Alligator mississippiensis: one gene and its partners. The protein of the gene in region 2 binds, or shares a complex with, the protein of the main gene of each other region. Links are inferred from orthologs where the notes say so. Each region holds a gene or a part of one and is shown on either strand. Other genes may lie near its edges. The genes, in order: THOC7, SARNP and THOC5.

Region 1 (3,744 bases), on a different chromosome or scaffold from region 2:
GAAGGAATATAATATTCCAAGTATTCAGTGCATCATTCTTGGAAAATGTAATTTAGAAAGACACTCTTGAGGCTCATTCTAGTGTTGCATCTTTAAGTTTATTTTCAGGATGCGAAGCATGTATTCGAGTAATGGAAAGATTTACCCCTGGATTAAAAATATCTCATTAGGGCAGCATTTATGTACACTCAGATTAGTAGCACTCAGAGGTTCTTGTCTGGATTACAGTTCCACGGTACTCTCGTCTGAAAGACCTGCAAGAGGGTATTCTTTTCCTCCCAGCACTTAAAATACCTTCTTTGTACCAGGCTCTCACATGTGGCCTTCTGGAACATACATACCGCAGAAACGGAGCCCAGAAACATGGACTACACACCATGCATCTGGCCCTGTTGAAACCTGCCGCCATTGCAGCCCACGGCAGTTCATTGCCTTGTTGCTCGGGGGATTGCAAACACTGCAGGGCTATGGTTCTCAACCTTTCTTAGACCCAAGGCAGCCCTTGCTAGACTCAAGACCCCCAGCAAAAAATGCCAGCTCTTAGTCTGCGCTCCATGTTCAACTTCCGTTCCAAAGAACTCGCAAAGGCCCAAAACAGGTGGGAACATTTGTAACCCCCTTGATTCCCGTTTGAAGCCTCTGGATGGAAAAGGTGAATTAGGTTTGCAACCCTCCCAGCACTAACCTTGCATGGACACCCCAGAAAGCAGCTTGGGGCACCTGGAAAGGATCTTTGTAATCCCCTGGATTCCTGTTCTAAGTCTCTGGGTGGATGCAGTGAATCGGGTTTGTACCCTTCACAGTTACAGCTTTGTGTGGACACCCCAGAAAACAGCTGAGAGCACCCTAGAAAGGATCTCAGGGCAGCTCACAAAGGATGGAAACCCCCCGGGATTCCTGTCTGAAATCTCTGGGTGGATGCGGTGAATCGGGTTTGCACCCCTCACTGCAGCTGATCTTCTGTAGCACCCCAGGAAGCATCTCAGGGCACCCCAAAAAGGATCTTTGTGACCCCCTGAATTGCCATTTGAAGTCTCCGAGTGGATGCAGTGAATCGGGTTTGCCCCCCTCACCGTGCTACCCTGCATGGGCACCCTGGGAAGCAGCTCAGGGTAAAGCTAGAAGGCAGCTGGAGAGCACCCCAGAAAGGATTTCCTGGCTTCCTGTTAGCAACCTTGGGGTGGATGTGGAAAACTGAGTCTGCACCCTGGAAAGCCCCTCAGGGCACCCCAATGGGGATCTCAGGGTACCCCAAATGGGGATCTCAAGGGCATGCCAGAGGAGCTCTCAAGGGCACTCCAGGGGGGATCCCAGGGCACCCCATTAAAACCTCAAGGGCACCCCAGATGGGATCCCAGAGCACTTCAAATGGGGATCTCGAGGGCACATCAGAGGGGGGATCTCTGGGCACCCCAATGGGGATCTCAAGGGCATGTCAGAGGAGATCTCAAGGGCACCCCAGCAAAACCTCAAGGACACCCCAGATGGGATCCCAGGGCATCCCAGAGGAGATGCACCTCAAATGGGGATCTCAAGGGCACGTCAGAAAAGATGTCAGGGACACCCGAGAAGAGATCCCAGGGCACCCCAGCAAACTCTCAAGGGTCCCCCAGAGGGGATCCCATGGACACCCCAAATGGGGATCTCGGGGCATGCCAGAGGGGATCCCAGAGCACCCCATCAAGATATCAAGGGCACTCCAGGGGGGATGTCAGGGTACCCCAAATGGGGGTCTCAAGGGCATGTCAGAGGAGATCTCAAGGGCACCCCAGGGGGGATCCCAAGGCACCCCAGCAAGGATCTCAAGGGCACCCCAGATGGGACCCCAGGGCATCCCAGAGGGGATCTCAAGGGTCTGCTAGAGGGGATCTCATGGACACCCCCGACAGGATCCCAGGAGCACTGCAGAGGGGATCCCACGGACACCCCAAATGGGGATCTCAAGGGCCTGCCAGAGGGGATCGCAGGGCACCCCACGGGGGGGTCTCACGGCCCCCCTCCCCCCGAGGGTCCCCGGCCCGGCCCGGCCCGGCACGGCTGTGGTGGGCGCGCACCCCTCCTCGTGGCTGGCGCCGTGGCCCCACTTGAGGAAGCTCTTGACCAGCAGGTTGATGCGGCGGTCGTCGCCCGCGCCGTCGCCGTCGATCAGCAGCCGCTTGCGGATCACCTCGTCTGCAAAACACCGCGCGTCAGCCGCCCGCGCCCCCCACCCGGCCCGGGCCCACCCGCGCCCCGGCCCGGCCCGGCCTCACCGTCCGTGACGGCGCCCATGGCGGCAGCGATGTCGATGGCGGCGGCGGGGAGGCGGCGGCGGCGGCGGTGAGGTCAGCTTCCCACAATGCAGCCGGCTGCGCGGCAGACATGGACGCCGAGGCGGCGGTGGCGGCGGCGGCGGGGGCCGGGGCCGGGGCCTGAGGCCGAGGCCGAGCCCGGCGCGCGGGGCCGGGGGCAGCCGCTGCAGGTGAGGGGCGCCGCGCCACCCCCCCGCGGGCCTACCCGGCCCCGCCGCCCGCCACCCGCACCGCGGGCCTGGCCTGGGCTGGGCGGGCGGCCTGCCTGCCTGCCTGCCCCGCGCGCCCCGGCTGTGAGAGGGGCGGCCACGTGAGGGGAGGCAGGGCGACACATGGGCGCGGGGGGCACCCCGCACTTGCCATCGGTCACCCACCCGGAGCCGGGGTGTCCTTCACGCCTCCCTCCCTCCCTGGCGTCCCTCACTGTTGGTAACTTTCCTCTTTCCCTGCCCCTAAAACAGTCCTCGCCTTTCTCTTTGCGTTGCGTCCCTCTCACCGCCGCGGTGGTGGGCGCCGAGGCACCATTCAGGTCTCATTCGAGCAAATGGGAACAATGCCGCAGGCTTCGGGGGCGCCGCATCATGCTCCGCACCTTGCAGGTCAACCACCACCATTGACTGGCGTCCTGGCGTTGAACATCTCTCTACCTACCTACCTACCGAGATCCGTGCAGACAGTCTCACCTACCATCAGCTCACGTCCTCACATCTGACTATACACATGTACACACACACACAAATATACACATATACACACACATATACCTGTAAAATGCACGGATGCAATCCAAAAAATCAGAGGTCATTGCAACATGTCAAGGAAGTAATAGAAAATTATATATATAATTGATAAAATATAATATAGCTATACCTATCTAGATACTATATCTATCTATCTATAGATATCTACCTATAGATAGATGGATATCTATACTATATCTAGCTATACTATATCTATCTATCTATCTATAGATATCTACCTATAGATAGATGGATATCTATACTATATCTAGCTATACTATATCTAGCTATCTATCTATAGATATCTACCTATAAGATAGATGGATATCTATACTATATCTAGCTATACTGTATATCTATCTATAGAAATCTACCTATAGATAGATGGATATCTATACTATATCTAGCTATACTGTATATCTATCTATAGAAATCTACCTATAGATAGATGGATATCTATACTATATCTAGCTATACTATATATCTATCTATAGAAATCTACCTATAGATAGATGGATATCTATACTATAGCTATACTATATCTATCTATCTATAGATATCTATACTATATTTAGCTATACTATATCTATCTGTAGATATAGATGTATAGATAGATATAGAAAGTATAGGTCTATCTATAGATCTATCTATAGATATCTATGGATACTATAGATCTACCTAGATCTAGCTATAGATAGATAGATATAGTGATA
Region 2 (3,744 bases):
GTTTAAGGCAGTAGCACTGGGAGCAAAGGAAAAAAAAAAAAAGAGCCTAACCTTAAGATGGGCCCAGTCTTGCTCTGGCTCTCCAAACAGTACCATCACTGTATGGGAGCTCTGTCTGATTAACACCTGCTGGATGGAACCCAACAGCAGGAATGCTCCAAGGACCACGATGCCAAAGAGCTCTCTCCTCAGAGGCTGCAGCCCTGAGACACCCAGTCAGCATTCTTACAGCAAGCCCAAGCCCAGGAAAGTTGACTCCAGCAGAAAGCGTGACCTACCGTGCTCCTCAAGGTATGCCTGGAGTCTGTTTATGAGGTCCTGTTTGTTTCCTTTTGCCTCCAGGCCACGGGCTGTACATTCCTGTTTCAGTTCAGCAAGCTGCATGAGAGAACAGCCTTCCTGTTAGTACACGTCACCCATGTGAGCCATGAACGGGCTAGACCCAAAGCCAAAGAGGGACGTCAAGGGCATGGTCACTGACAAAGGAATAGCAACACGGCCAGCTGGTCAAAGCAGGGGGATTACAAGCCTGGTTGCCTGGATTCCTCCTAGCTTTGATAACTCTCTCTACATGGCAGTCACCAACTGCTGAAGCTTCCTTAGCCTGACGAAGGGTTTTTGAACCCGAAAGCTTGCTTAATAACTATTCTCCAACCATTTGGGGTGGTCTAATAAAAGATATCAAATTCACCCAAGGAACCTTGTCTGCCTATGTCCTTAGATCAACACGGCTACAACCCAAACCCCTCTACATGGCTATAACACTTACTTAACCCGCTCCCCTTCCCCCCCACCAACAACCAGGAATCCACAAAACCAAGTGGCCATGGCACAGTGCTGCCCTAGACAGAAGTGAGAACATCTCATACAATTTCTCCATCTCTCAATTTCCAGTATTCTTCCTGTGCCTTCACTTCCCTCCATTAATAAAACTCCTCAGACCCCAAAAGTTGAGCAGGAGCTCAAGGAAGACCAAGGATTTACTGTAAGTAGAGGACCTGATTCCACGCTGTCTCTCAGCATGACAGGCCCGCTTTGCATCCTGTGGGTTTTATGCTGTCCTGAAAGCAGAGTTCACACCCCACGTGAAACAAAACTGGCAGAGGAGTTACATTTGCTTGCTGTGTGTAACAAAGCACCTTTCATCACACCTGCTAAGGGTAACTAACCTCCACGGTCATGCCAAAAAAAAACCAAGCTCTGAAGACCTGGCAATTACCTCTTGCAGCACCTAGGCACTGTGTTAATGAGCAATTGCAAAATACGAAGATGGTGAAACTTCACAGGAGACAGCATGGCATGGCATGGCAGAGGCTCTGGGGGGCCTGCGCCGAGGTGGAGCCGGAAAGCAGGTTTATGAAACTTGCCCTCCGCCGTGTCAGTGATTTGTCAGCGCCTCGGACAAGATACTTCATCCCTCTGGGACTTGGCTTCACCCAATGACATAAAGATACGTCCCTCTACGTCACAGTCCACACAGATTAAGGTGAAAGGCCACGTCTCTAGGAGATATTATTTATTCCACCGTACAGGATACGCGAAAAGAAAGACAGCCCTCAGATCACCGAGTCCACCCGCCAGGGCTCAGCACAGCACTCCCCAGAGGACCCTTTAGCCAGTCTAATTTTCGGGGTCTCAAGCAGGCCCCAGGGCCTTCCTCTCGCTCTCTGCAAGACCGTTTCACATTCAGAGCTAGCCACTGCCAAAGTACCACATCCCCTCTGGTCTTTGGGCGCGTCCGCAATCGTGACGTATCCGGGGAAACGTCCTTATTCTCCGACCAGGGATGCACCGAACGCCTCTGCACACCTTGGCACAGGTCCCTTGCTCGCAGCAACCAGCGTTTACCCTCCCTATAATCAGGCCCTTCCCAAACCGGGCCGGTCCCCAGACAAGCCAGCAAGAGTCGGCTTTTGGGAAGCCCACGCAGAGGAGCCCACGGGGGCCGCGAGAACAAAGGTCCACGAGCGCTGCGGGAAACTGGCCTCGGCTCAACTTCCCCCCTCCGCCATCTGCCACCACTGAGGCCAGCCCAGCTCCATCCCCCCCCGCAGGGAGGTGAAGGCTGCTCTTCCCTGGACTCTCTCCAACGTGTCCTCGTCCTCTCCGCGCTGGCGCCCGCCCCCGGACACGACACAGACGAAAGGGTCGCGAACAAGCTTCAAACATGGATTCCCCTGAGCCAGCCCGGATCCCCCCACTCCGCCCGCACCTTCAGCTTGTGCAGCTCCACGGTCTCCGCCGCCATCTTGTCGCCCCCTCAGCTCGCCGTCGCCCGCCCCGCCCCGTCCCGGCTCCCCGGCCCAATGGAGCCCCCGCTTGCTACCGGGTCGGCGCCGCCAACCTCGCGCCTCGCCATTGGCCCAACCCCGCGGCTCGCTATTGGCCTGGCTCGCGCGATGCGGGGAGGGCGGGAGTAGGCCCGAGTGGCGCCCCCATGGACCAATAGGACGGCGGGTTGGGTACGGAGACGACCAATAGTGGCACAGGGGCGGGCGCAGGCACTTCCTGGAGACGGAGCCCGGCATTGGGGGATTCCGGTAACCGGCGCGGCGCCGCCAGGTGGGGGGAAGGGAAGGCGGGAGGAGGAGGAGCTGAGCCCGGACTCCTGGGTCCTTTCCCCAGCCCACTGCGGGGGCAGCACTAGGCCTGGGCGCCTGTGTCCCCCCCACCGCCTCCAGCACCGGGGCGGGGAGCAGCACCGGGTCGCAGCCCCGCTTAGGGCGGCCCCTTCTCCTGCTCCCAGCTCGCTGGAGGGGATCGGTCGCGCCCAGACCGGGCGAGAGCCGAGGGGCCTCGTGCAGGATGAACGTGGGGGTGGCGCACAGCGAGGGGAACCCCAACACGCGCGTGATGAACAGCCGCGGCATCTGGCTGGCCTACGGGATCCTGGTGGGCGTCCTCCACATCGTCCTCCTCAGCATCCCCTTCTTCAGCATCCCCGTGGTGTGGACCCTCACCAACGTCATCCACAACCTGGTGAGGCGCCGCGGGGGCAAGGAGCTGGGGGGGGGGTCCCTCTCCCCGGGGCCAGCCCCCCCCTTACATCCGCTTTCCTTCTGGCGCTGGAACCCCGCAGGCCATGTACTGGCTGCTGCACACCGTGAAGGGGACCCCGTTCGAGACGCCGGACCAGGGCAAGGCCCGTCTCCTCACCCACTGGGAGCAGATCGATTACGGCACCCAGTGCACCTCTTCCCGCAAGTTCCTCAGCATCTCGCCAGTAGTCCTGTGAGTGCCGCTGCGTGCGGGGCCTCCCTGCCGTGCTGTCCCCTTGCCGGGCTCTGCAGGCCGGGGCGGCGCCCGAGGCTGTTCATGGCGTGAGCGTGGGAGGGCTCATGGCAGGGGACACGTTCCCCTTGCAGAGGCCGCTGCGATCCTGAGGCAAGTCAGGCCGTGGCTTTAGCTTCAGTTACTCATCGCGGGAATGGTCAGTGGGACTGGGCCCAGCTCTGATGCCCAGAAAGAGCAGGTGTTTTCTGCTCAGAGCCAGGAAAACTGCCTGGCCTGGTCTGCAGCGAGCTGTTGGGCCTTGGGCCGCATGCAGGGGTGCCAAGGAGCAGGTTGCACTTGAGCACTAAGTAGAAACACCGCAGGGCCCGGCCTGAGCTGCGTGGCTCCTGGGATGATTGCCTCGCGTGGAGGGCTCCAGTCTCTGCCAGTCCTGCCTCCCTGCCAGACTCTGGCAGGGCACTGAACCATCCTCGCTGTTCTCTCCTAGTTACCTCCTCACCAGCTTCTACA
Region 3 (3,744 bases), on a different chromosome or scaffold from region 2:
ATCACCCACTCATCCACCCACACACACAATCCCTGAGAGGCAGGGATTACCCATATTCCTTGAGCATTTCACCATCCACTTCTGCATTTCTTTCACAGCCTGTGGCCTTCAGCATACCTCATGGGTTTGATCTCTCCCCTTCTTCAGCCGGATGTGAGCCAAACGGTTGAGTTTCTTCAGAGTCATGAAATGCACACAGCTCTGGATCCGCCGCTCCTCAATCTCAGCAGCCTGAAGGGCAAGAGCGGGGAGTCTGATGTGGACAAAGTTCCTTGCTAGCAGCTCTTGTAAGTAACTAGCCACTGCAGAGCTAGTTGGTTATTGTGCTAGTTAGAAGAACCTAAAGCAAGCAGGGAGCTACAGAGATGAATCTTACAGGAAAAACACTGGTAACAATCCCCTGAGCTTCTGCCAGGCCCCCTCTCCTTCCCAGTCTCAATGTTCAAGTGTTAGAAATAAATAGAGGTCCTCCTCATTGTGTCCATTCCTTAGTCCACAATTCTCCATGCATGTAAGACAGAACTCAGTCCCACTAGAGGGCCCTGGGTGCTGCTTTAATGAGAGCTTTCAGTAATTGAATCCCTAATTCAGAGACAGTTTTACACTCTAGTTCAATAAAACAGGTTGGTCTAAGATTCCCTGAAGGCCAGATGTAGACACACAACCTTACACCATCGTAAGTCACACTACTGTGTGGAAAAGTTATTCCTCACTTTCCAAGGGGTAACTGATGCAAGTTACAAGAGCTGTGTGTGTCTGTAGGAAACTACACACACTTCTCCAGTTCTCAATTTCATTGCAAGGTAGCATTTGCTCTAATTTGACCTGAGCCACTTAGTGACTGACAGCGTAATCATACCTACTAACCTGGGAGACCTGGTCATGTGTCCACTACTTAATAAGGTATAAATATCCTATGGAATAAAATCTGGGACAAGTGACTCCATTGCAACTGCCTACAATCACAGATATCACTCAGTGACTTTTGCACCTCCTTTCTGTTGTCAGGTTAACAGCTGTTGCTATATTTAGGACAAGAATCAGAACAGGCACAACATGGGTAGTTACCACATGAGGGGAGCACAAGGGGCCTGCAGCCTTCATACCGCCTTCCTAGCCGCATTGCCACAAACAGAAGCAGTCAGCCACCTGGGATATTCCCTGTCTAGGAGGAACCAGAGCAAAATGCACCTATTTGTTTTACACAGGAATTCAAAGCATCAGAGAGCAGTAAACAGTGCTGGATTCATATGGTTAAAACTTTCTGTCCTAACTACAATGAATTATTCAATCTTTCCATTTTAGTGTTTTGTTGTGAGCAAGCATTTCACCAGCACAGTACTCCAGAGGTCTCTCCTTACACTGTCTTTGCTGCCTTTACTCTTCAGATCCTGGATTTCTGCCATGAGCCTCTGAAGCTCCTCGCAAGTTTGCTTGTAGAGTTCATAGTCTTTGCCAGGGTCTCTTAGATCCACCTCTGTCTCTTCACTATAGTACTTAACATCCTGTAAAACAGCAAGAAAATAGGTTTCAACTGGATTCCCTTCCCTTCTCAGAAAGAGTCCTGCAGAAATCACATTGTGGGCCTTATGTTTAGCCTCACTCCATCCACTCCAGAATCCAAATGCTTTATGCACCAGTGACCCAACCGCTAGTGCTGCAAACTCCACGGGAGATCCAAGCCTGGCAAATCCATGCCTCACCCATAATCCCATTAAAATTAGCATCTGATCTGCACAGGTCCTAGTTAGGCAATCAAACAACTAAGGAAGAGGGGAGGGAAGGGAAGAGAAGAGCAACAAATAAAACATTTGTAAAAGGTTCAGAGATGCTTGCCAGAGAGATATGAAAGCAACAAACAGAGTCAAACAACTGTGAGAAGACTGCTGAGGACTGAACTGCCTGGACATAGATTCACAGAAGTTTAGGGCTGGAAGGGACCTCGTGAGATCATCGGGTCCCGCTCTGGGCAGGAAAGACTGCTGGGCTCAAACCACCCCAGCAAGGAGTGTGTCCAGTCTCCTTTGGCAGGTAAAAGGCACAGTCTGCCCAGCACAAAACAAAGGCTTTGGAGGGGAAGGGCTGACAAGCTGAAGATGGCAAGTGCATCAGGAAGACCCAGCACCGCATCCAGGAGGGTTTGATACGAACTGAACTCTGTACGTGGTGCAAGCGGCAGTCACTCCAGAGCAGGGCCCCGCCACGTCCAGCAAGCTGGTGCCCCGCTCCGCGCAACCCCACTGCTTTTCAAAACCGACAGATGCCTGCTACTGCCCCGCCAAGGCCGCTCCCAGCACCAGCTGCAGTGCGGCAGCCCCTGCCCCGCGGCAAAGGGCCGGTCACCCCGCACCCAAGCAAGCTCAGGCTGCTCGTCCCGGCGCAGGGGCCGCAGGCTGGCCCGGATCCGACGTGCTGGGGGCGGAGAGGCCCCGCCCCGCAGTACCTGCTCGGCGTCCGCCTTGCTGCGCTTGCCGTCGGGCGCGGCGCCGTCCGTGCGGATCACCTTGGGCTTCCGCTTCTTACTCGAGTCCGACGACATCTGCGGGCGGGAGGAAGCGTCAGCGGCCGCCGCTCACCGAGCCCCGCCCCCACGCACCGGGCCCCGGCGGAGTGCGGCTCCACGGCCGGCGGGGAAGGGGGGAGGGGCGGCGCCGCAGCGCGCTCACCTGCGTCCCGGCCACCGCTCCAACCGGAAGTGGCTGTGCAGGAGCAGACGAGGCACACGCTAGAGCGGCCGCCCGGGCAGCCGGCAGTTGAAGGAGGGAGCGCCCCCTACTACCCTGCGCCGACGCGGTCTCCCCTGGGGAGCGTCACCGCCCGCGCCGCGATCGCCCGCGTCTGGGCCAGGCCCCTTCAGCGCGGGGTCCTAGCGCCGGGCACGGGCACACGGCCGCGAGCTCCCGCAGCCCCGCGCAGCGCTGGGGGAGGCCCGGTGAGCTGCCTCCCGTCACCCCCGTGCCCCCCAAAGGGTGTGGGGCTGCTGGGTTCGCCCTGGCTTCGCCTCCGCCCCCAGGGCCTCAGCTTGCCTGTCTGTGAAATGGGCCTAATGCCTCCGTCCACTGCAACTATGAGGCTTTGCTCCCCTCAGCACGTCCGGGAGTGAAGGAAGGGGCAGGACGCGGGCCCTTCCCACTCTCAACCTGGCAGATGACCCTACTGGGCAAGGCCTCCTCCCCCCACCTTGCCAACTGCTGGCATCTTTGCTCAGAAGTCGGATTGAGGCATCTGGGGCAACACTGCTGCCAGCTGGGCCACCATCTTCTCATGCTTGACACTGCTGGCCTGTGCCTGGCGGGGTATGGAGAAGGGCAACACCAGCAGCCATTCCCCAGGGCTGCCCATTGCCCTGCCCCTCTTGCAACAAGTCTTATCCTTTGAAATTCCTGCTGCCCAGCTCGGTCTCCCTGGGCCTTACCTCTTCCTGTCCCTAAGCAATCACGCCTCCTCCAGTAATGGCCCGTCACTAAAAGCTAGTGTTGTCTCATGAGCACACAGCACTGCTCCATGTACTGGGTGTTGAGCACACCTGGTCTCATGCCTGTCCAGCGTTGGCTCTGGGGGAGCTGGTACCTGGACTGGGGCCTTCACCTGAAGCCCACACAGGTAGTAGGGTCTGGTTGCCAGTTTTCAGGGGCTTAGGCCAAGCTGCAGAACTGGGGCTAAGCAGAAGTCCCCAAACCCTGTTTTCTGTGGGACTAACGTAAACCTTTTCAGCTATGACAACTAGCTTGGTCAGCAAAGTAA

What was found.
Region 1: SARNP (region 2) and THOC7 share a complex: the UniProt entries of both Homo sapiens proteins name them as parts of the transcription/export (TREX) complex. The link is inferred for Alligator mississippiensis from reciprocal best matches to the Homo sapiens genes SARNP and THOC7.
Region 3: SARNP (region 2) and THOC5 share a complex: the UniProt entries of both Homo sapiens proteins name them as parts of the transcription/export (TREX) complex. The link is inferred for Alligator mississippiensis from reciprocal best matches to the Homo sapiens genes SARNP and THOC5.

Annotation. Positions count from the first base shown.
Region 1 is NC_081835.1:3,383,284-3,387,027, forward strand, and holds the start of THOC7 (THO complex subunit 7 homolog), read right to left. Parts: upstream 2,345-3,744; 5' UTR 2,272-2,344; coding exon 2,253-2,271; intron 2,173-2,252; coding exon 2,055-2,172; intron 1-2,054. UniProt on the Homo sapiens protein: Component of the THO subcomplex of the TREX complex which is thought to couple mRNA transcription, processing and nuclear export, and which specifically associates with spliced mRNA and not with unspliced pre-mRNA.
Region 2 is NC_081838.1:6,888,110-6,891,853, forward strand, and holds the start of SARNP (SAP domain-containing ribonucleoprotein), read right to left. Parts: upstream 2,306-3,744; 5' UTR 2,249-2,305; coding exon 2,213-2,248; intron 379-2,212; coding exon 279-378; intron 1-278. Other genes in the region: ORMDL2 (ORM1-like protein 2), read left to right, coding at 2,806-2,979, 3,080-3,231, 3,722-3,744. UniProt on the Homo sapiens protein: Binds both single-stranded and double-stranded DNA with higher affinity for the single-stranded form. Specifically binds to scaffold/matrix attachment region DNA. Also binds single-stranded RNA. Enhances RNA unwinding activity of DDX39A.
Region 3 is NC_081833.1:26,651,590-26,655,333, forward strand, and holds the start of THOC5 (THO complex subunit 5 homolog), read right to left. Parts: upstream 2,761-3,744; 5' UTR 2,667-2,760; intron 2,540-2,666; coding exon 2,444-2,539; intron 1,506-2,443; coding exon 1,362-1,505; intron 232-1,361; coding exon 118-231; intron 1-117. UniProt on the Homo sapiens protein: Component of the THO subcomplex of the TREX complex which is thought to couple mRNA transcription, processing and nuclear export, and which specifically associates with spliced mRNA and not with unspliced pre-mRNA.